3 linked regions of the Mytilus edulis genome follow. The protein of the gene in region 1 purifies or fractionates together with the protein of each later gene. This does not show direct contact. Links are inferred from orthologs where the notes say so. Each region holds a gene or a part of one and is shown on either strand. Other genes may lie near its edges.

Evidence for each region.
Region 2: the proteins of cullin-3-A-like (region 1) and BTB/POZ domain-containing protein KCTD5-like purify together in Drosophila melanogaster (affinity purification with western blotting; 4 studies listed by BioGRID, with this or other methods). This does not show direct contact. The link is inferred for Mytilus edulis from reciprocal best matches to the Drosophila melanogaster genes Cul3 and inc.
Region 3: the proteins of cullin-3-A-like (region 1) and kelch-like protein 2 purify together in Drosophila melanogaster (affinity purification with western blotting; 3 studies listed by BioGRID). This does not show direct contact. The link is inferred for Mytilus edulis from reciprocal best matches to the Drosophila melanogaster genes Cul3 and kel.

Annotation. Positions count from the first base shown.
Region 1 is NC_092346.1:79,309,638-79,317,118, reverse strand, and holds the start of cullin-3-A-like, read right to left. Parts: upstream 3,113-7,481; 5' UTR 2,902-3,112; coding exon 2,848-2,901; intron 1,929-2,847; coding exon 1,731-1,928; intron 1,440-1,730; coding exon 1,326-1,439; intron 750-1,325; coding exon 589-749; intron 44-588; coding exon 1-43.
Region 2 is NC_092352.1:64,454,218-64,461,265, reverse strand, and holds the start of BTB/POZ domain-containing protein KCTD5-like, read left to right. Parts: upstream 1-3,991; 5' UTR 3,992-4,192; coding exon 4,193-4,390; intron 4,391-6,142; coding exon 6,143-6,251; intron 6,252-7,048.
Region 3 is NC_092352.1:43,244,698-43,252,181, forward strand, and holds the start of kelch-like protein 2, read left to right. Parts: upstream 1-4,432; 5' UTR 4,433-4,551; intron 4,552-7,135; 5' UTR 7,136-7,177; coding exon 7,178-7,287; intron 7,288-7,484. Other genes in the region: interaptin-like, read right to left, coding at 316-409, 1,249-1,389, 4,269-4,283. UniProt on the Drosophila melanogaster protein: Component of ring canals that regulates the flow of cytoplasm between cells. May be involved in the regulation of cytoplasm flow from nurse cells to the oocyte during oogenesis. Binds actin.

The sequences.
Region 1 (7,481 bases):
GCCAAGAACCATCAGCATCTGACAAGCATTTTTAACAGCTCCCCTAAAAAAAACATTAAAACAATCAACATAAAATATATTTTGGCAAAATAAAATAATAATATCCAATAGGGACTTACCGTCCCAATTTTTCGAGTGAGACCCTATTCTATGAGGATTTCTTCATAAAAAAACTATTCTAAAAACATAACAGTCCTTGTAACTTCTCAAATACATGTACATGTAACATGCAACATAGTTGAACAAAATCAGGTTGATAATTATAACTTTGTCCATGGACAGATTACATGTGGCTAACTTTCAGTAAAACCATAAATTAAACAATTCTGGAACTCAACAGACAACTGAGTCCACATCAACAAAGTTCAAGAACAAATGACTATATTTTTCATGATTAAAAAATGGCTGATAGTTACTTGTTTTAAAGATATGTCATTTTGAGAACTAAGAACATTACAAACTTCAATTCAAATGCATCTGCCTTCCCTTTAAGGAGGGAGTATGATGTCTTTAATTGTATATAAAGAGTTTTTAACTAATGGATTTGTGTCATTATCTTTGCTGGTGACTATATTTTCACTAATTTACCTGTCGACCACCTCTCCTCTTCTTTCTTTTGCTACCATTTCTAACAATGTACTGCGGAGATGGTCCCTTATCATTGGATGTCTTACAACCTTCTCTCTAAATATCATCAGTCCAAGATTGTACACATTGTCTACATTATTTTGTTGAACATACACTCTGTCCTAAACCCAAAATAAATTGATATTTATAGGAAAATTATAAAACTTTCGATGATGTCATGACAATATCTGCCATGATTTTTTTATTCATGTAAAAAGTTATTTGCAATGTCTTAAAAGTATACACCCACTGGTTATTTATCATAAAGAAAAATCCATGCTGAGCTGGTAGAATGATAATTCAAATAATCATCAAACAAGACATGACTGCTCTGCTTATCTTAAAATAGCTTACACTGATGAACTCACTGACATCATTTTGAAATTCCAATCGAAATAACACATTATCTTTTAGATAAAATTGAGAATAAAGAGTCTGAGTAAAATGTAACAAGATATTCCATGACCAGTGTGTATGATAAAAATTTAGCATATTGTCAAACAGGAAGTGACTGTGTTGCAGATCTGAAATAAGGTTACAGTCAACTTCAAAACTATGAAGCATGAACAAACAGCTAATCCATGCTTAATACACAAGTGGAGTTATTAACGATAGAGAAATGGAAAACAAGTTGTTTGCAGTCTTTCATTAAAATACACTCTGACAGTGATTGGGATATAATAATTATATATACCTACCATATACATCAGTATGTCTCTTATCATAACCATTGATGTTTGGTGGTCATTCCATGCACTGTTTAACGTTTGCAGAAAGTTATTGATCAATGCTGAAAGAACATCTTCTCTTATCTGTTAATATAGACAGATTATAATTTAATAACTTTGTTTACTTACTGTCAATGATAAATTTAATAAAAACACCATCTAACATCATCAATTTCCAAATTTTCATGAAAAAAGCCAGGGGGAATTGGATTTTAAGTTTTATACTAGCACTCATTTCACAAAATGTTATCTTTTAATTTTGGGAAAGATATCTTTTATGAACACACTGTTATGAAAACTTGCTAGAATAATGGTCCAGTATTCCAGCTTGAATAAGACATATATTTCTCCTAACCAAATATTAGTATTACTTGCCTTGTCAACTAAATGATCTGTGACAACATCACGCAAACCAGTGTATAATTTTTCTCCATGTTTATGCAATACCATGGTATAGGCATTTCTATACAACTCCTCAAAACTAAGTCCACTGTTATTTTTTTTCTGGATTTCCTGAATGGCATTTTTCAGCAATGTCCAAATATTGTTAACATATTTTTCATCCATTGTCATCTAGAAAGAATAAAGGAAATATTTAAACTTAAAATTGAATATTGATTACATAAAAAATATGTCACTTCAGGGATGCAGTAGTTAGTTAAATCTGTCATGGGACTTCCATCACCACATTACCAAAATGTAGGTACAGTAATTTCCAACACATGTTGAGCCAACGTGTGAAAAAGTTTTATAATGCACAAAATATTTTGAAAATTAAAAACTTGTGAGATGGTCACCCTCCCTCAGTGGCAGGAACATTAAAATTACGTACTTACAGAACATAAATTATTTCCATTATACTACCCTACAGAATGATGATTCTGAAAGTGCTGAAAACTTTTAATAGATCAGGATACAGACTCGCTATCAATCTGGTTATGATACATAAAGGCGTACGAGAAAGACATGATTCTAGAAATGATGTACTATCGATAAGTTCAATAACAGTATTGTGCTTAATTTTTAAACTTATCCAATTTTGGTATGAAATTTTCATTAAAAGTTAAAAATGTTTACAAGATCTAATTGATATGTCATAATAAAAATGGGTCTCAAAGTTCCCCTCAAAATTCACTAGCAAAGAGAAAGTCCAGAATATGGCAGGACTGTGGGACAGCTTGGCACACAACTGTCTTACTCATAAAATGTGTACAATTACAGTTGATGACAGTTTAATATATCTTAATTGGTTGTATTTAATTGTCGATTGAACATTCTAACTATAGGCCTACTAGAAGTCCTCATAGAGTTTCCCATGCAGCAGACGTCTTTATTTACATTCATTATGCCACTTCCGTCCGCCATTTTATTTCATGATCCAAATATTATTTTTTTCTCGAAAATAAGTGTCTACAAGGATTTGCAATAAAAAAATACGTAATTTTGGTTTAATGATATATGAGTGGGACTTTCTATGTGGTCTTATACTTACTGGAAATGCTCTGATTCGCATTTTTGTGTCTTTGCGAGGCTGCTGTCGACTCATTTTCCAAATATATTAACTATAAAATAAAGAATGGAATGGGTAACCAAATAAACTGAAATGATAAAAGCTGATTTGTGAAATTCTTAGAAGACTAAGTCAAAAGAGTTTTGAGTCTCTGAATGTGTTCCTCAGGCATTTTCGCCGTTGACTTTTAAACCATTCTCGATGAAAGCCAAACAACAGATCTTCATTTAGTCATTTATCCGCAAACAAAAATAGATCTAAACAATTATTATGATTCGTGAGTGTTGGTCGAAATCAAAGACTTTCTTTAATATTTCAACATTTAGAAATAAATTGTTTTCTTGAAAAATACGGTTTGTAGTTCAATGTAGCAACGATTTAAAAATATGCACATTGATTTGGGGTTAAGTGGGTCATCGTCAATAAAGTATTAAGACTGGTTGTCTGCTCACTGCTATTGTATCATCTAACCAGACTGGTTTCCCTATTCATCTGAAATTGCGAGCAGCAAGTTTTCTAGTCTACTTTACAATCCAATTCAATCTAAATTCTAAATTCTAACATGGTATGAGTAGAAATGTAGTTTTTTGGAACATGAAAAACTTTAAAACTAGTTCAAGCTAATGTACTGATTTTGAGAATACCTCTGTCAATCATGATTGAAAAATTATATTTAATATTATTATTTTTATTTCTTGAGAATTTCATATATCTTTTTTCCAAATATTTTCAAATATTAACTCAATAAAAAAAAAACACTTGAAGTAAATGTCTTTTTACCAAATTCAACTTATCACCGTTTGTTCTTGTTATGAGAAGCACGACAGGTGCAGCTATTGGAACAGGAAAATGCTTATCCTTACGAAATCATGATACCGATTTTACAAGATTTTGGTGAGGTTAATGTTGCACAATTTAAGTTTTGTAGCGTTATCAAATTTTCTTCTTTTTTTTTCGGTAATGGTAATGTCTTCAAGTTTTTTTTTTTGTGGTTTTGAATTGCATATCATGGTCCTATGTGCTCTTTTTATTTGTTCACGACTTAAGTTTTTTAACAAAATTTGACAACTTTTAGTACTGTAATAAAAATCGGGTAAAATATCTGTGGAATATGCTTAGTATTTTACACATACAAGTTTTTGGGTTTATTTTATTTTCGACCAACATTCTTAACAGTCCGATGATAGTGCAAACAGAACATTTTTAACATTTAATGACATATTCATTGAATGCTATGATATTTTGCTACCGTGTTTAGAGGAAATGCATAGTTCTTCATGGATAGGAAGTTCAATAATTTGATCTTGATTAATTGTTTAATAGGAGTAAAAAAAATACCCCTCCTTTGATGAAAAAGTTACAATTCATTATTTTTTTTAAAAGTGTCAATGGAATGAAAATAACTTAAAACGGAGGTATAAGCGCCAAGAGTTAAGTGATATATATGATAGAGCATTGCACAGAAACAACAAAATAAAACATTCTATAAGCTGTTACAGTAGTTCTAAGCGACCCAAAAATTCTGACACATTTAAGAAATAGTTCAGATACGTTTTCCTTTACACCGTATGACCAACTTGATCGATTTATTTCTAAAGATTAATGGCATTCCGAAGAGGGTTTTTTTCTTAACAAAACTTCTTAAAAGTCATAGTAGAAACGGACCATTTAACGAACTATTCTTGAATGGAATGATATTCTGCAACTGTGGATGGAGGAAATGTTCAACATGCAGGTCTGGACATTTCCACAATCTTAAACAATTGCAGTACTGTTCCAGGTCCCTCATCCGATCCCTTCAACTATCGTGGAATCAGTTTTGTAAGCAATTTCGCGACAGTATCTTTACGTCGAATTAAAATACACATGGCTATTGATATGATAGTAATGATAATATCAATGATGCGCAGTTTATATTTCTATCGAGTTGAGCATTGTATCAATGCGATTTACTATATAAAGAGCTATCTAAAAGACAATGTTTATTTACTTCATTGATTCATTTGATGCCATATCAAGACACAATTTATTGATGAAATTGTACAGATTGAGGCAAATTGGTTACATAACTAAAATCAATCGGTCTTATGCTGGGGGCAAATACTCAAGTCTCCTTTACCATTTCAAGTGTATCTCATGCATGTATATACCATGATTGTTTATATCGAAATTCACATGCAATGACAATTCACCTTATGAATTACAAGATACGTTATCTGTGTCATTGTTTTTGCATATGTTCGTCAATGGAATGATTTTGTTTTCAATAGTTTTTTATAGTTTGCTCTTATCATGCTGTACTGTTACATCACTATCACAGGGGATATAAGACATTTAGGTGAAGTGCAATTTCTGCATTGATGTATGTTGTATTCCGTAAAACTTTTTGTTATTTTTAATTTGGGGTAGGTTGTCTGATTTGACCGCTAACATACGACACCATTCTTTCTAACGATTGGAATAAAAACATTTGAAAACATCACGTTATTAATTTCTTGCGTCCGAATAGCTTTTCTGGATTTACCTTCATCAGGAAGGCTCAAAGCCAAACATTTGACATCCGAAGATGTATAAGTACCGAAACCGTTAAAGAGCTATATGTCAAAAGGTGGAGTTATCTGTCTGAATTCGGACTTTGTTGCCTGGATGTCTTTTGTAGTTTTTTTTCTGTTGTTGGGTTATTGTCTCATTGACGTATACCTATATAAAATAGCCATGCATTCTTTTCATAGAAAAATAAAACGCTTTTAACATCCCCAGTGACATACAGATTCTTTTCTTATTCGAAACTTACATAATTCTATTCATCGCAAGAACAACAATAAACTTAATTAAAAGTATCACAGTTATTTATTAGGTAAGAATGTAAGACAGCACATATATACATGTATTATAAAAATAACAATCTATGATAAGAAGTAATGGTTTACAAAAATAATTACTTGTAACTACTAGTTATTCAGATAAATGAACTTGTCAGTCATTGCAGAAAATAACATTAAAAGAAGTGTAAGATTTCTTTTGAATTTGAATTAAAGTTAACTGGTTTTTTTTTCTTCACTTGTACAATTGTTCATGGCTGTCAACTTTGAAAGACAGAAAAAAAAATAATGGACTTGAATTATGGTTGTCATTTTTTTTTCTTTTTTGTTGTTGTTGATTGTTTGTACACTACTGAGATTTATACGGAATATAACCATCTATTATATATGCGATACTTTGTATGGCCACGCTCAACAGTAAATATTGTGTTTGAAAATTGTGAATTTTGGAACTGAAAATGACAGTGTAAAATCCGGCGTATTATTGCTTCTTCACTTCCTAAAATCATATTCTGATGAAACATTGTTCACGTTAAAACCAAAGCACACCCACAAATTAATTATATACCAGTCAATACAATTTTACTGCGCAAAAAACATGTTTGCCATATATATAAAAGAAGAATGTCATTACACGGTTTTGGAATATAACAATGATTTGATCGAGGATCAGAAACCGGTAGGAATTACAAGGCTTATCGAGCATTTGTATTCCGTTTCGTACCCTACATGACTGGCACACTAACTACACAGGAACGTTAAGAAAAGGTCTGTGAAATAACAATATGATAACAATGTAACAGGACGGAATAAATATTAAATACTAACCTATCAATATAACAATATGCATTGAATAATATTAAAAATACAATTAATTATAAAAACACAATTATTATTAACAACTTTTTAAATGATTGAGCGCAAATCAGTGATTAAGATTAGTAAGCAGCAGATTTGAAGAAATTCGTTGAAAAATATTACGTGAATTTTAAGTTTTTCCACAATTATTTCAGTCACAACAGGAAATATTTGGTGTTACAAGTGAAAAATGATTCCAGATTCATCGGATCAAGTTGCGCAAAATTGAAATCAGTAGTGGTAAAATGGAAAATTAATCAATTACCTCTTACAAATATGTTTATATTTTTACTTGATTGAAATAAACGCAGAAGTCAGAAGTATAAACTGATGTAATGGAGAGGGGGAGAATTCAATATTGGAATTGCTTTGTGATGGAAAGCCACATACATAACCTTGTCATTAATATTCAAAAAATCATAAAAAATATATGTCTATAGCAAAGTAGCACTTTTGATACGAAGACCAAACAACATAGCATTTATAAAAGCAGTCTCTACAAAACATTCACTTCAATGTATCTACATGTATACAATGTTCACAATATACAATCTGCCCGCTTTAAACCCGAGACAGTTATCATTGGTTAACATTACACCTTTTTTAGGTTTTTGTCATCAACCAAAATAAAAACTACAAACAAAATGTCTGCTGGTTGAATGGATTTGAATGCATTCTTTGCATGATAATAGCTTGTTTCAATATCAACATTTCTGTTTTGTTGTTGCCTACTACACTTAAGGATGCTTCATCCTCTAATTTAGATATGCTGCAGGAAGTGTCACTTGTCAACTATTGTAACGCGTGACTTTGCTGTCACACTGAGAATGCAAATAAATCAAAATGAGATCGCCTAAAGTAAGGGGTAATTTAAATCGGACTAGCCCCCTTTTTAAAAGATCCACACTGTCTACGTTTAACTCAGATAAAATAATT
Region 2 (7,048 bases), on another chromosome or scaffold:
TATAATAATATTTCTGATTTCCGAAATATATTAATAATGTTACGTTAACTTTTTTTTATAAAACAAATATCAATATTAATTAGTTGATAATGCTTTTGTCTCATTGCCAGATATAGCAAAATGTGCCCTTTTTTCCCCAAAATTTACAGCTTGCTGTGCTGTGTATTCTGTCAAATTGTTTTGTTGTTGTTTGTTTTTTTTTCTTCAAATATTCTCTTAAGTTTTAGAATAAATTTAGAAATAATGCCAGTAATTTGAAAAATATATATATATAAAGTTTATATTATAAACTCATTTACACTCGGCAATCTACATGCACTTGTTGATGTTGATATATTCTCACCAGTCTTTGCATTTTAAATGGGGATTTCAGATGACATTAATACAACATTATCTATACACTACTAAAGACTGCTTACGCCCAACATAAGATTGACCTTAAACAACTACTTTCTTCATTGATAACAAAACTGCTGTTCCATGTACATAAAACCTGGAAAATTCAGCCTCAACAGCAAATTTAACTCCGTATACGGATTTAATTTTTACAGGTATCCCTCTTTTCGCCCCTTTTCTATTTTTGATATTTTAATCAAAAATTTAAAAAATTAAACTTTCAAAAAGTGAAATAATCAAAATTGCACGTTAGATTTAATATTTTAAAAGTTTGATAAAGTTCCTAAACTATCAAATTTATAAATGATATTTAGAATTTTAATATTTTAATAATTTGGTTAAAATTTCAAAATTTCAAAACTTTTTAACACATGTGAATTTGAAATTTTGATGTTTTAAAACTTTGATCAAAATTTCAAAAATCTAAAGTTTCAAAACTTTTTAAAACTTTGAATTGAAGTGTTACACGGACCTTGAAACATTAACATCCAACTTATCGTTCTTGTTTAGTAAAATCTGAACACATTCATATCATATAAACGTATACCATAAACATTATTTCCAGCCTTCATTTCTATGTAATAGTTGTCGCTGTACATTAATTAAGCCCCCACCTATCGATTTGTAGGTGTCGGCAATTTTCAATTTTCAAAAGTTTATATCAGCGATAAATGGTAATCTTTTTAGGAATCCGATATATAAATATTGTCACCAAAGGGACACCAAGGGGACACTTTTTTTACTTGGATACTTCCACGAGGGGCTTCAATTATGGTACATATAATATTCTGACTCATCAATTTGACGGGGGAAAAAATCTGTGCAAGCAGAGGACAACAAAAAATATTCTGAATCCAGATTTTCCCCATGCCTTATAGTGTTTTGAACCAAATAATATGATTAATAGCGATGAAAAACTTAATAAAATTGTTAGTGCTTGGCACGAATTTTTTTCTCACTTCGACAAAACAACTATATTCTCATTTTTAAAGTTAAGTACATATGATTGCTCCCTTAGACAACGTAACGTCGTTTGGACTGATGCTTGTAAAAGGTATATTCATTTATCATATACGTATCTCTATTAGGGGCCCTAAATAAACCACTGTGTTTAAATAGCAAATAAAAGGGAAAGGGATTTTTGTATTAAGGGATATCATTGTTCCGTATTCGTTATTTGTGCATTTTTAAGTTATCGTACGACAATCAACTATGACCAAAGTGAAAGAGCACAGGTACGTCAAGTCAGAATGCCACGCTGTCTGCTGCATGATGGAATTTCCATTCTTAGCCATACACCAATGTTGCTCTCGAAAAACCAGTACAATGTAAAACGCTGAATTTAAGTAAAGCATTCACCTACGGAACGCTGAAAACTGAATATTTGAAAGTGAAGTAAATATAAGAACCGAAACAACTGAAGAGGTGTTTGGCCAAAGTGAATTTGAACATATAAAGGGCTACTTTGTCCGAGGGAGTTGAATCCTAAGTTTCTTTGTAATTTGTATGTAAACAGCAAATTATCGATTTTTGGTTGCTAGTGACAAATATTTCATGAATGTTCAGGGACAAATAAGCAATAAATACAACAGGGGGAGGGGGATTGTGCTTGTTATTGATCATATGATGAAGATATAATCTTTCAATTAGTTGAATTGAGGTCTGGAGCTGGCATATATGTCAGTAACTGCTAGCTTTAATATAGTAGTTCTTTGTTAATTTATTATCATTGTCATTTTTATTAGTTTCTTTTGTTTCCAATTCTGACATAGGACTTGTATTTCTTTCAAAATGCGTTTTACTTTGCGTATTGCTGTGTGTTTGTTTATTCTACATTGGCTACAGGTACCGTATATAGGGGGAGGGTTGTGATCTCATGAAACATGTTTAACCCCGCCGCATGTGTCCCAATTCAGGAGCCTCTGTCCTTTTAAGTCTTGTATGATTGTAACTTTAGGTCATTGCTATATTTCGGAGTTTAGTATGACGTCTATTATCACTCAACCATCATTGAACCAGTACACTTTTTTGTCTTGGGACCAGCTGAAGCACGCCTAGCACAACGTTCATTGAGACACCATAAATTAAGTATTTCTTCCGTATTATTACTTGGAACTGAAATGCTTTATCAATCACAAAAGACAATATATTATCGGCATGCAATCGATAAAAAACAAAAACAAAACGTTAAAGTTGCATGCGACCGAAGCGCTTTTTCCGAATCTACCTTCATCAGGAACGTCAAAAAGGCGAATAATACTATTTGGCCTACTGCGAGTTGGTAAGTTTTCACCTTTACTTCTAAATGTTGGGCACTGGGGACACCAAATAGCCCTGAATTATATATCTCAAACGATAACCTTATATAAGAGATTTAAATCAACTTATTTGATGCCGGTTTAAATAGGTTTAAATATTGTTTAATAGATGAACAACCTTAAAATTTCAGGATACTGTTATCCCATGTGATGTCTAATATGTTTTGACTTCTTTTTATTATTCATTTTGTAATTAAAAATGATTCGATATATTTCGTGCTATTTATTCCTAACTAAGAATGATTATAATCAGAGCCGTGTTTACAGGTACACCTCTTTTCGCCCCTTTTCTATTTTGATATCTTAATAAAAAATAAAAAAAAAAAACTTTCACAAAAAGGGAAATAATCAAAATTGCACGTTAGGTTTAGTATTTTTAAAGTTTGATCAAATCTCTAAACTATATCAAACTTATTAACGATATTTAGAATTTTAATATTTTAATTATTTGATTAAAATTTCAAAATTTCAAAACTTTTACACAATTTGGAATTTTGATATTTAAAAAAAAAACTTTAATCAAAATTCCAAAAATTTAAAATTTGAAAACTTTTTAAAACTTTGAATTGATACGTGATACACGGACCCCAGAGACATATGTGTATACATGTCTCTGCGTGAGAGAACCCAAATTACACCTATTTTGACAGTTTTTTCCTCTACGATTTTTTATGATCCTGACAAAAGTTTCCATTCTGTGTTTATTTTGAAGATGTATCCTTATTTACTATAAAGTTTAATACACAAATTTAATTTTGAATATATGCATGATATATGATTAAGTCATAGAAAAATGGATTTAAACTGACCCCCAGGATTACGCAATGAGGAGTACCCAAATTGCATATATCTATGCTTCAATTCACATCCTTAAAAATTGAAAAAAAAGATGTTTTGTTCCATTTGTTCAAATAGCTAAAACAACTTGACATTCGTCCATGCTTCAGTACTATTGATTTTTCTCATTTTTAAAAGATGGGTTCACGGTGCAATTTTGGTACTGTGACCAGGTGACGTTTATACTCATTCTAGGACTGCCTAACCGTTATGTCTCTGTCAGTTAGGCGAGTTGAAATGCCTAAATTTATCAAGATTTTATCCTTTTTCATAAATGGGTCAAGTTGCTATGACTGATTTGAATGAGATTTTATCTTTTTTCATATTAAGGGCGAGTTTTTAACAAGAGTGGGGCAAGTTAGTTGAAAGTGGGGCGAGTTGGTGGATAGTGTCGCGATTTGGTTGTGGGACGAGTTTTCCTGATTCCGCTGTGTAAAGGCAGGTAAAGCAAGCACCAGTTTAACAATGATGCACGCGAATTTGACGAGATTTTATTATAATGAAAATATGGAAACTGTTTCATTCTGTTCGTGTCAAAAATAGCACCAAACAAACCTAGTACAAGCTAAAAAAAATCAAACAATAGTACTTATTGGGGTTCATTGGGGTTGCATATCGATGAAATAATTAATTGATGGACCATGGCCGAAAATGGGCCTCAACCTTGCAGCACCACTGTACCACAAAATTCTGGATCTGGCCAAGGCAGAATTAGCGAATGGGTGAAGTTAAACGTTGGCGGAACAACTTTTATGTCAACGAGAACGACATTGTGTAGAGACCCTAAGTCATTCCTGTATAGACTTGTACAGGAGGAACCAGATTTAAATACGGACAAGGTTATTTCATTGAAAAGAGTGGGGGGGGGGGGGGGGGGGGACTTCTAAATAAACTATTTCCACAGTAGACGGTTCTAAATAATCAAGAATTTTAAATTTATTTATTCCAAGTTAGTGCATTTGAATCCATGACATCTCTGCCAAAAAAAATTTACCCCCTGACAAACTTTGTCTTTGAATTTATTTCTATCAACCAGGGTTCTCACTAAGGCGAGTCCACGAGTTCAGGACTCATGAAAATCTGTCTGGACTCACCATTTTCAAAACTGGTGAGTCCAAAGATGCATCAAAATTGAAATATTTTATAATAATCAGCATCGTTGATTGTGGCCATTATCAGGCAGAAGCAGAAGAAGCACATATCATCATTTTATAGCACACAATAGAATAAAAGAAATCTGAGTTTAATGTCATGTCATTGCTATTTTATGTCATGGAGCCTTTATAAAATGATAAATCATATTGCAAAAAAATATCTTCTTACTGTTGGGACTCACCATGGACAAAAATGACGAGTCCCTGGACTCGCCTTCAAAAATACTTAGTGAGAACTCTGATCAACTAAACATTAACTAAAAATGGTACAGAGGCATGTGGCCCGTTTTGTATGTAACAACTACCACAAAACCAGTAGTGTAACATCCATGTTAAATGATCTCCAATCATGCCAATGGCCCTCACTTGTGCGCTGCCTCAAAACTAGACTGATTATTCTACAATAATGGAATAAGAAAAGTACATACCAAATCATTTCGGCAAATATCCATCTCTAAGACAGATACAAATGGTCATTTTTTCCACAAACATTAAATCAATGGAACATGTTACCACAATTTGTTGTAGCATATCAAACATTTAGAGATTATTTCACACCAACTGTTCTCCACAACATAGATTAAATTTATATAAATGTATGTACACCAATGTAATTATTTTTTAATCAATTGTTGTCTTTCTTTTATGTAAATATCACCATTCAAAATATTCAAGTATTCTACAAATTTAAAAATAAATTTTTGATCAATTATAATTTTAATGCACATGCAACAGTTCGTAAACTTCAATATAAATGAAACTGAAACTGTATATCAGAAAAAGAAGAACTTGCTCTCCTTAAGTTATCGAGATGGCCCCTAAAATAAAATGTGTATTAGTCCAGTAAAAATAGACATCATACTGAACTTCTTAACATGTTTATAAATGAACTAAAATTAAGAAAACATACAAGATTAACAAAGGCCAGGGGCTCCTGACTAGGGATAATAAATGGTGCAATAATGTGGCAGTGTTAATCATGTTTTGACAACATCAACCCTCCCTCTATACCTCTAGCCAATGAAGAATAAAGAAACACACAAAAATTCACACAGCTTAAGTCTCTTGAGATATTCCAGTCTCAAGTGACCAAAATCTCAAACTAAATCAGCAAAACAATTGTTCTTAACCTGTTATTTAATCATGCGCAACTTGCCAAAATATTCATCAATGTGGGCAGTATTTGAAAGAAGTAGAAGAAGAAGAATGTAAAACCAGCATTGAATAGTTAGCAGACAAATGAGTAACTACCCTTCAAATGAGAGAGATATTTGTTTGGGTTAATATCAATAATTATGAATCTGCATTTGACACATGGCATATATTTATGAAAAATGCAGCACTTATAACACATTGAGGATATAAGTCTAATCGGTAATAGTATATGTCTCAAATAAGACAAAGTTAATTGAAATTAACTTAGTTCATATTTTGTAGGATGAAAATGGAGCCTTTTTGATAGACAGAGATCCCACATACTTTGGACCTGTTTTAAATTATTTACGACATGGAAAGTTGGTGATAAACAAAGACTTAGCAGAAGAGGGTTAGTTAGTAAGCCTTTGAATGTTTCCTGTTTACAAATTTTTAAGTTTATTTGGATTCAATGTCATGACAGAATAAAGGCATAATATAACAAGCATTGATGTGTTATGACTCGCACTTGTACATTTTTTGCTAGATTTTTTTATAAAACTTAATTTATTGGTAATGATTGGTTAACATCAACAATCACTCACACATCAGTGTCTCTTGACAAGTTTGAAAACCAGTGCCCATAAATTATTTTTAAAAGAGTTATGCCCCACGGAAATATTAATTATATTGAAAATTGCATTGCATTTGCTCTCAAGCCTTCATTAATTTCTTTAAGATATTTAAAAAAATTAATGAACAAAAAAAAAGTTACTTATACATGTAGTTATATATCAGTAATGTCTTGGACAAGTTAGACAATCAGCATTAACCCTTTTTAAGCTCGCCCGGCCTAAAAGGCCAAATGAGCTTTTCTTCATCACTTGGCGTCGTCATCCCTCATTGTTGTTTTTAAATTTTTATAAGACCGCGAATATTTTGTCCATTTGTATAATGCTATGATGTCATAGTCAGCTTTGTCCAAAGACGCATTTCTTGACAATGTCTTAAGTTTGAGGGAATGGATCTCTATGAAATTTTTGTCAGAAGGTTCAATAGTTGAATACCACTAAAAGGAAGGTTGGGATTGATTTTGGGTGATATGGTACCACCCGTTTCAGAATTAAGGGCCAAAAAGGAGCTAAAACAATCATTTTCTAGTTTCTGTACAATAACTAGTATGTAAGGGTACAGATCTCTCTTAAATTG
Region 3 (7,484 bases), on another chromosome or scaffold:
ATGAAGTCTGAAATAAATTTAATTCAATCTGTCTATTTTTAGGACTTATTTGGGCCATTGGACAACCAGCTGGGTTCCCAATAAATTAATTTCTGTACCCACAATTCTGCCTTTCCTCATTAACTGAGAACAGTTCGGGCTAAACAGGTTGACAGAACTTTATAAAATATGCTAGAAATGCCTATATAAAAGGTAGTGGATCCAGCCATTTAAAAAAAGGGGGGTCCAACCATATGACCCCATTCAAATGCATTGATCGTCCAAAAAAAAGGGTGTTCCAACCCCCCAGACCTCCCTCTATAAAACTACTCTTACCCTGGCTTGAGAAGTTCAGTTTGATGCCATACTTCCTCATGTGGTCTAAGGCTGTCTGTATGTACATTTCTGGTAACTGGGAAGTCCCTGAAGCCTGTAATATAACCATGTAAACATTAAAATAGTATTCATTTGTGTATTCCATCTGAACTTCATAGAAGCAAAAATTATCTACTAGTATAAAGTGTTTAATGTTCTGATAAGCTTTGAATCCTGATATATGAATTTGCACTCTTTTTTGGTTAAATTTTTGGACTAAATGTTGATAAATATTGGTCCTGGACTTATTCTCTATGCATGTGTGTACCTCTACATGAAGTTGTTAACAAATAGTATGTGTCAAGCCATTTTAGTATCAAACTTACAGTATATGTGATAAAATATCATGATCAATATTTCAGCTGACCATGACATCTATAGGTCTATTAATCATGTTAATTGTTAATTTTCTCTTAATCAAAATAATGAAGCAGATAGTGATTTTATTGCAATTTCTTCATGCATTAAATCTATAAATTGTACCGACATACTAAGCCTCTATTGATTAAATAATATGTTTCCAGGTAAAGAGCTAATAATGGGCTATACTTAGCAGATTTGTCAGAAGAGATCACTTTCACATGAATCAGTAGCATTTAAGTGACATTCCCAGAATTAGATCTACATGTAAATTAAATTTTCTTATTAAGTCATGCAAGTCTTGCTGCCAATTCAATAAATATCTATTTTTATTCACAAACAACTTTTTGATTTATTAGCCAGGAAATAAGTTTTCATAGAATTTCTTTAATTTTTATGGCTTTTAAAGACTCTTTTCTGATGATTTTTTTTACAATTCTAAGCATTATTCAAATATACAAGACTATTTGACATTTTCAACATATATATAAAGCGTCAAATCTAAAAGGAAAACAAAAATTGTTGAATCAATACCTGTAGTTTCTGCAGAAGACATGCTTCTGGACAGAGAAGATCTATTAGCTGACATAGCACTTGTCCTTCCTGTATACTGGATATCCCTTCTACTTCTTTATCTATATCAGCTAAAACTGAGTTAGCCCAATTCAAATAAACCTACAATACAAATGACTTGTTTACATTCACAAATTTTTGTTTTGATCATAAATTTACATGTACATAATGTACATATATCTGCTAACTATCAAACAAAATGTTAGTTACAATTAGCTATAAAAAATGCATGTCACTTGTATAGTGATATGTGTATTTTTGTACAAAGTGCACAAAACAATATTTCATCATGTTCATATGAAGAGACCTATTCACTGAAATAAAATTTGTGATATGAACAGTAAACATATCACTTTCATTAGATGCACAAATCTAGTGCAATAATCGTATATAACAGTTATTAATTAGTCTTCATCTTAAATTTCTTAGTTCATTTGTCATTTTTGTAAGTTATACATTCTTATTTTTTTTTATCAGGCAGTTTCTTTCTACTTGTTAAATGTTTTAAGTACAGTTCATATACACATTTACATTTGCATTCCTGTTTCAATGTGTGTTACGTAATAATGTTCATGACATAAAATACATGTATGTGATTTATTCATCCTTGTTCAAATAATTTAAATCTTTTTTGTTGCACTATTTATACATATATATCAATCATTTTATAAGTAAGAAAGGTTCTTTTTTATAACTTTCAAGATCCTGAATCTCATGCATGCATGTTCTAAATTTATTTTTGATTATATTCGACATATATATATACATGATACATTGTATATATATAATATATTTCTCTAATTCTTCGTCAATTTATCCCTTTCTGCACCCATTGTATAAAAAAAATGTAATCAATGTGTGGTTCGTTTGATCTCAGTACTTCATTGGTTAAAATCCGATTATGACGTTGAATTTTCTTGCTCTCCTCTGAAATTCCTATTGTGACGGCATGAAAAAAGGCAACAATGCCTGATGACATCACATAGAAAGAACACATCTTTTTGCAGATCATTCAAAAAGAAAGAATAAGTTTGCCTGCATAATGTTAGAAAATCATTAGAGAAACAGATTCCACCACCAAATCTTGTGAAATACGATATTTATCCACTCTCAACAGTTAAATTTTAAATATTTAAAACGCTCGGGCAAGCCTCACGTTTTAAATTTGAAAATTTAACTGTCTCCAGTGGATACATATCGTATTACACTCGATGCAGTGGTAGAATCTATATATCTATACATTTTTGTCATTGATAAATACTTTCCAGAATTTTTTTGTTAGAATGAGGAAAAGAATCAACCAACACCAGATTTATAAATGCTTTTATATTAACATACACATGAATAATAAACACAAGACAAAGATCTAGAAATATGATGTTACACATACAGAGTATAATTTTGATGGTACCATCACCAAGTATCGAATTAAACGAAGCAAATATTGAGTACTTTGACTATCATGACTATTGTTCTTCATAATATGGAAATTACAATAAAATTCATCAATAACATAAAAATTTACTGTTTTTGCAAAAAATATGTGACCTTCATTACATTTCGCATATGTCATGTATATATGTTCATTATATTTGAAATCTTTTCATATTCTTAATTATCTTAAATATTTGTGATACCATTTTATAGTGCTTTCAGTGAGTATTTGTATTTTTAACTCGATGACAGTTGAAAATGGATGAAACCTAAAACAACACTACATACAGTTAAAATTATAAATATGCAGCTAATCACATGTACATCTTTTTTTCAAACTAACATGACTAAAAATATAATGCAAAAAAAAACTATGAGAAAAATTGTACTTTTAAAAACATTAAAATGTTGACAACAATTCAAAGTTCAATTAAACTGGCAAAGAACCTACATGCACCATGCCAATATTGATAAAAAGAACAATTATATAACAGTGATAGGTTTTTCCCACAACATATGTGAACAAAACACATTCAAGTTAGTATCAAACACATTTATTCATGCAGTTTAAAAGGTTGTGCATATGAAATGTGTAGTCTAATACAGACGATTTTAATCTGAGATAGGTTCACTGATCTTTATGTACAACAGATCATGCAATAAAAGAACTGGGTCTAAATAGATGTTGTTTGAGTATTATGTTACCTTTCGCTTGCTCATTCTTCTTGTTTACAATTAGTTATCTATTACTCTTCCTGAATATGAAACTAAACTGATAATCCTTTTTATACAAATATCTTTCAACTTAAATTATTAGTTTTCTCACAGATAAATTCACATTAACAGCTCAACACAATTACAGTTTACATGGTATCACACTTTTTATCTTTAACCTGGCTCCTAACCCAAACTTCATTTACATATTCTTAAACATTTAGAAAAACTAATCATTCTACATGTACTAATCTAGATGAACCACTTTCAACATGTCAAATAAAATTACCCTTTCAGTGTGTCAAATAAGTATTCTGGACTTGACAAAGTTTAATTTAATTACTGCAATCAATACCACTAACAAAGTAAACATGATAAATACTGATCACCTAATTACACATTCATGACATTGGTAATTAAATTATAGACTAAATATTATAAGAATAAAATTGTATTATAGTTTCAGTTATCAATTGTATATAGAACATATTTTAATTCTGTTTAAATATAACTGGAATAGCATATTTTAAACCAATCTTATTTGTCATTAATAAACATTTTCATTCTATTTAATAAAATAATAAATATTATTATAATGTTAACTTATTTTTCTTTCATTTAATTTATTGTTTGATATTTCTCTTATACAAATAGATGATTTAGATATCCTTCACTTGTACAATAATTTACCGTTAAATCACCTACTCGGTTCAATTTCAAGTCCTCACATGTCACATCCTTTTATTTTCAATCAAAAATCAATTAAAACCACCAAATAAATCCATTTAAATATGCAATTAGGTACACAAATGCGAGGAAATAAGGATAATTACCTGTAAAACGGACATGGTGTTTTTTAGCTTCCCATTTTCAACATAAACCTTATTTCATTAATTCAATATTTTTGCCGAAAGAGAAAGTTCACACTTGGCCGCCATATGTAAATAAGTCGTAGGCGACCAGCTACGAGTTTGCGCACCTGCTAATTTACGGAACCACTTCCTTTTCCGGTTCCAGGCAGAAAATGTCAATACACAGATGACAGTTGGAAAAAAGTCATATTTGCAGACTTCTTCTGAAAATTAACATAAAAACATACTCCATAAAATAAACATGGTACTTATGCATTACATTGTCAAACAAATTAACATTTTGAAATGCTGTTAAGCTACACAACAGACATGCTACTGTCTGTCTGTCTGTTACTGTTAGTGTTTGTGTTATGATTATGGGTAGTCCAAATAATTATGACGTCTTGAAAGGCTATTATAATTTTTTTCTTTGACGAGTAAGGCGTCAAAGAAAAAAATTATAATTGCCTTTCAAGACGTCATAATTATTTGGACTAGATTATGGGTAGAATAATTCTAGTCTATATACTTATGATGTCTTGAAAGGCTATTTAATTTTACTCTGTGACGCCTTGCTAGGACATCGTAGAAAGGTGTCACATAAAAAATTAAAATAGCCATTCAAGACATCATAATTATTTGGACTTAAGCCAGTTAAGGCAGGAACATATAAATTGACAGGACTTGACACTACCTAATAGACAACTTTCGAGTTCGATGCATTTCCGTCAAAAACTCTGGTTTTAGTGAACGTCATTTGTGTGTTTTGGGGCGTAGTCATATCCATTCCAATGTTGAGCGAGTGGTTGGAAAACTATAATTCTATATTGTACAAATTATTCGGCAAATTGAATTCTCAAAATTGAAAATCAGCACTTCTGCCATTAGGGAATTGTCATTAAGTACCTACAGAACAACCATTATTTCTAGTTAATCCTGCACAATGACGATCACTAAGATGCTTGATTAACGTAAATAGTGCATGGATACAGGCGACCCCCTCTATCTGGTAAATGACATCTTAAAGGCGCATATAATTGATGAGTTTTTTCCGGTGAAGGATGAACTCGAAAGTGGTCTATTGTAGCTGATCAAATTATCAAGTCATCATTTATAAAAACACAATACAGAAACAGACATGTGTTTAAACATACTCGCTATTATACTAATAATTTCAGATAATATCAATAAAATGTCATTCAAACTGAGTTTGGCAGTACTAGTGATGCTAGTGTATGGAATAAAATTAACGGTACCAATATTCCTGCACCAGATGCGCATTTCGACAATACATGTCTCTTCAGTGATGCTCGTGGCCAAAATATTTGAAATCCAAAGCTTATATAAAAGATGAGGAGCTATAATCCAAAAGGTCCAAAAAGTATAGCCAAATCCGTGAAAGGAATCAGAGCTTTGCATGATGGAGATACATTCCTTAATTTATGATAATTTCTATCATTTTGTAACAGTAAATTTTAATAACACAAAAAATCCGTATTTTCATGAACTTGTAATCTATCGCTTCAAATGCATTATAATTAAAATTGAGAATGGAAATGGGGAATGTGTCAAAGAGACAACAACCCGCCAAAATAAAAAACGACAGCAGAGGGTCACCAACAGGTCTTCAATGTAGCGAGATATTCCCGCACCCGGAGGCGTCCTTCAGCTGGCCCCTAAACAAATATATACTAGTCCAGTGATAATGAACGCCATACTAATTTCCAAATTGTACACAAGAAACTAAAATTAAAATAATACAAGACTAACAAAGGCCAGAGGCTCCTGACTTGGGACAGGCGCAAAAATGCGGCGGGGTTAAACATGTTTGTGAGATCTCAAATTGCCTTCATTTCATCACAGAATGCAAACTGGTAAATAAAAAATGGCGTCGATTGCATTCCCACTTTCACAAAATTTAAATAGTAAATAATATACTCATAATAAACATGATAAAGATCATGCCAAAGGCTCGTTTATTATTGTAATGAAATTGATCAACTTAGTTGATATCAAGTGATATCTGATTCTCACATGTTATAAAACCTAGAAATATATGTGCAGTTTGAAGAAAAGATATTAATGTTCTCAAATTATTTTGTTGTGTATAGGAAACAAAAAATGGTTACTAAGGTTTGAATTTGTAGCATAAAACATCCTTTAAACCCTTACTAATGTCACTTCAACATGTTCAGCCTTTTCAATGTGATATAAAAACATACTTTTATAATTACTGCTGGTAAAGCACTGGTAATTTCAAGATTCATAGACAAACAAGAAATGTACAGCAATATCAAACCTTGGGGAAATCACTCTTACAGATATTATTAAATCAAAAATCAAATTTGGTAATATGAAAAGAAATGTTTGAAAGAGAAAGAGACTAATTGATATAATAATGTAGTTTACTTCACAATCATTTTTTGTGCGTATACATGTACCTTTCCAAGCTTTGATGAGTAATAAGTCATGACAATTGATTGATTCTGCAGTTTTTGAGAAAAAAACCTGAAAATGAACACAATCCTTCTTTTCTCATTTATATATTTTGTTTTCAGCTCTTTCTTCCCCCCCTAAAGTTTCTTACTGTTCACTTTGACAATAAAAGTTCAGCTCCTATGAGTTTGGTTTCATGAAGTGCATACAAGTGTAAGGATTTTGTGTCATGTTTTATTTAGGTCATCATGGTCATGTCTAAGCCTAGTAAAAGTAAACAGGGAAATCGAAATAATATCTTTACCTTATGATGTTCACAAGAAAGAAAAGACATGACCTTTACAATATTATTATTAGCTTGCAAAAGCTTAATAAATTTATTTACATATAATATTTGAACTTATCCTTTCTAGCTAATTTCGTAGTTTAAGGCTGGACCATTTTATGGTTACATAATGGCAACCATGGATGTACGTCCGAAGATGTTGCAAGGTAGAGAGCGTCCTGCATTTAAACATAAGCAGCATACACAGAAAGCATTTGAGGTTCTGAACCAGCTGAGAAGGTAAGTTGAAAACTTACGAGGCATCACTAAACATAAAATGAAATTGTAATGAAATGTGGTAAAAAAGAATTATACCTTTTCCTGAATGTTAAATTCGTTCAGAAAGGACTATAAGCTAAATTTATATAGCAATGTATAGTGTGGATTCATTATTATACAGGGGATACCAACTTTCATGGATAGAGGTGAACCACAAA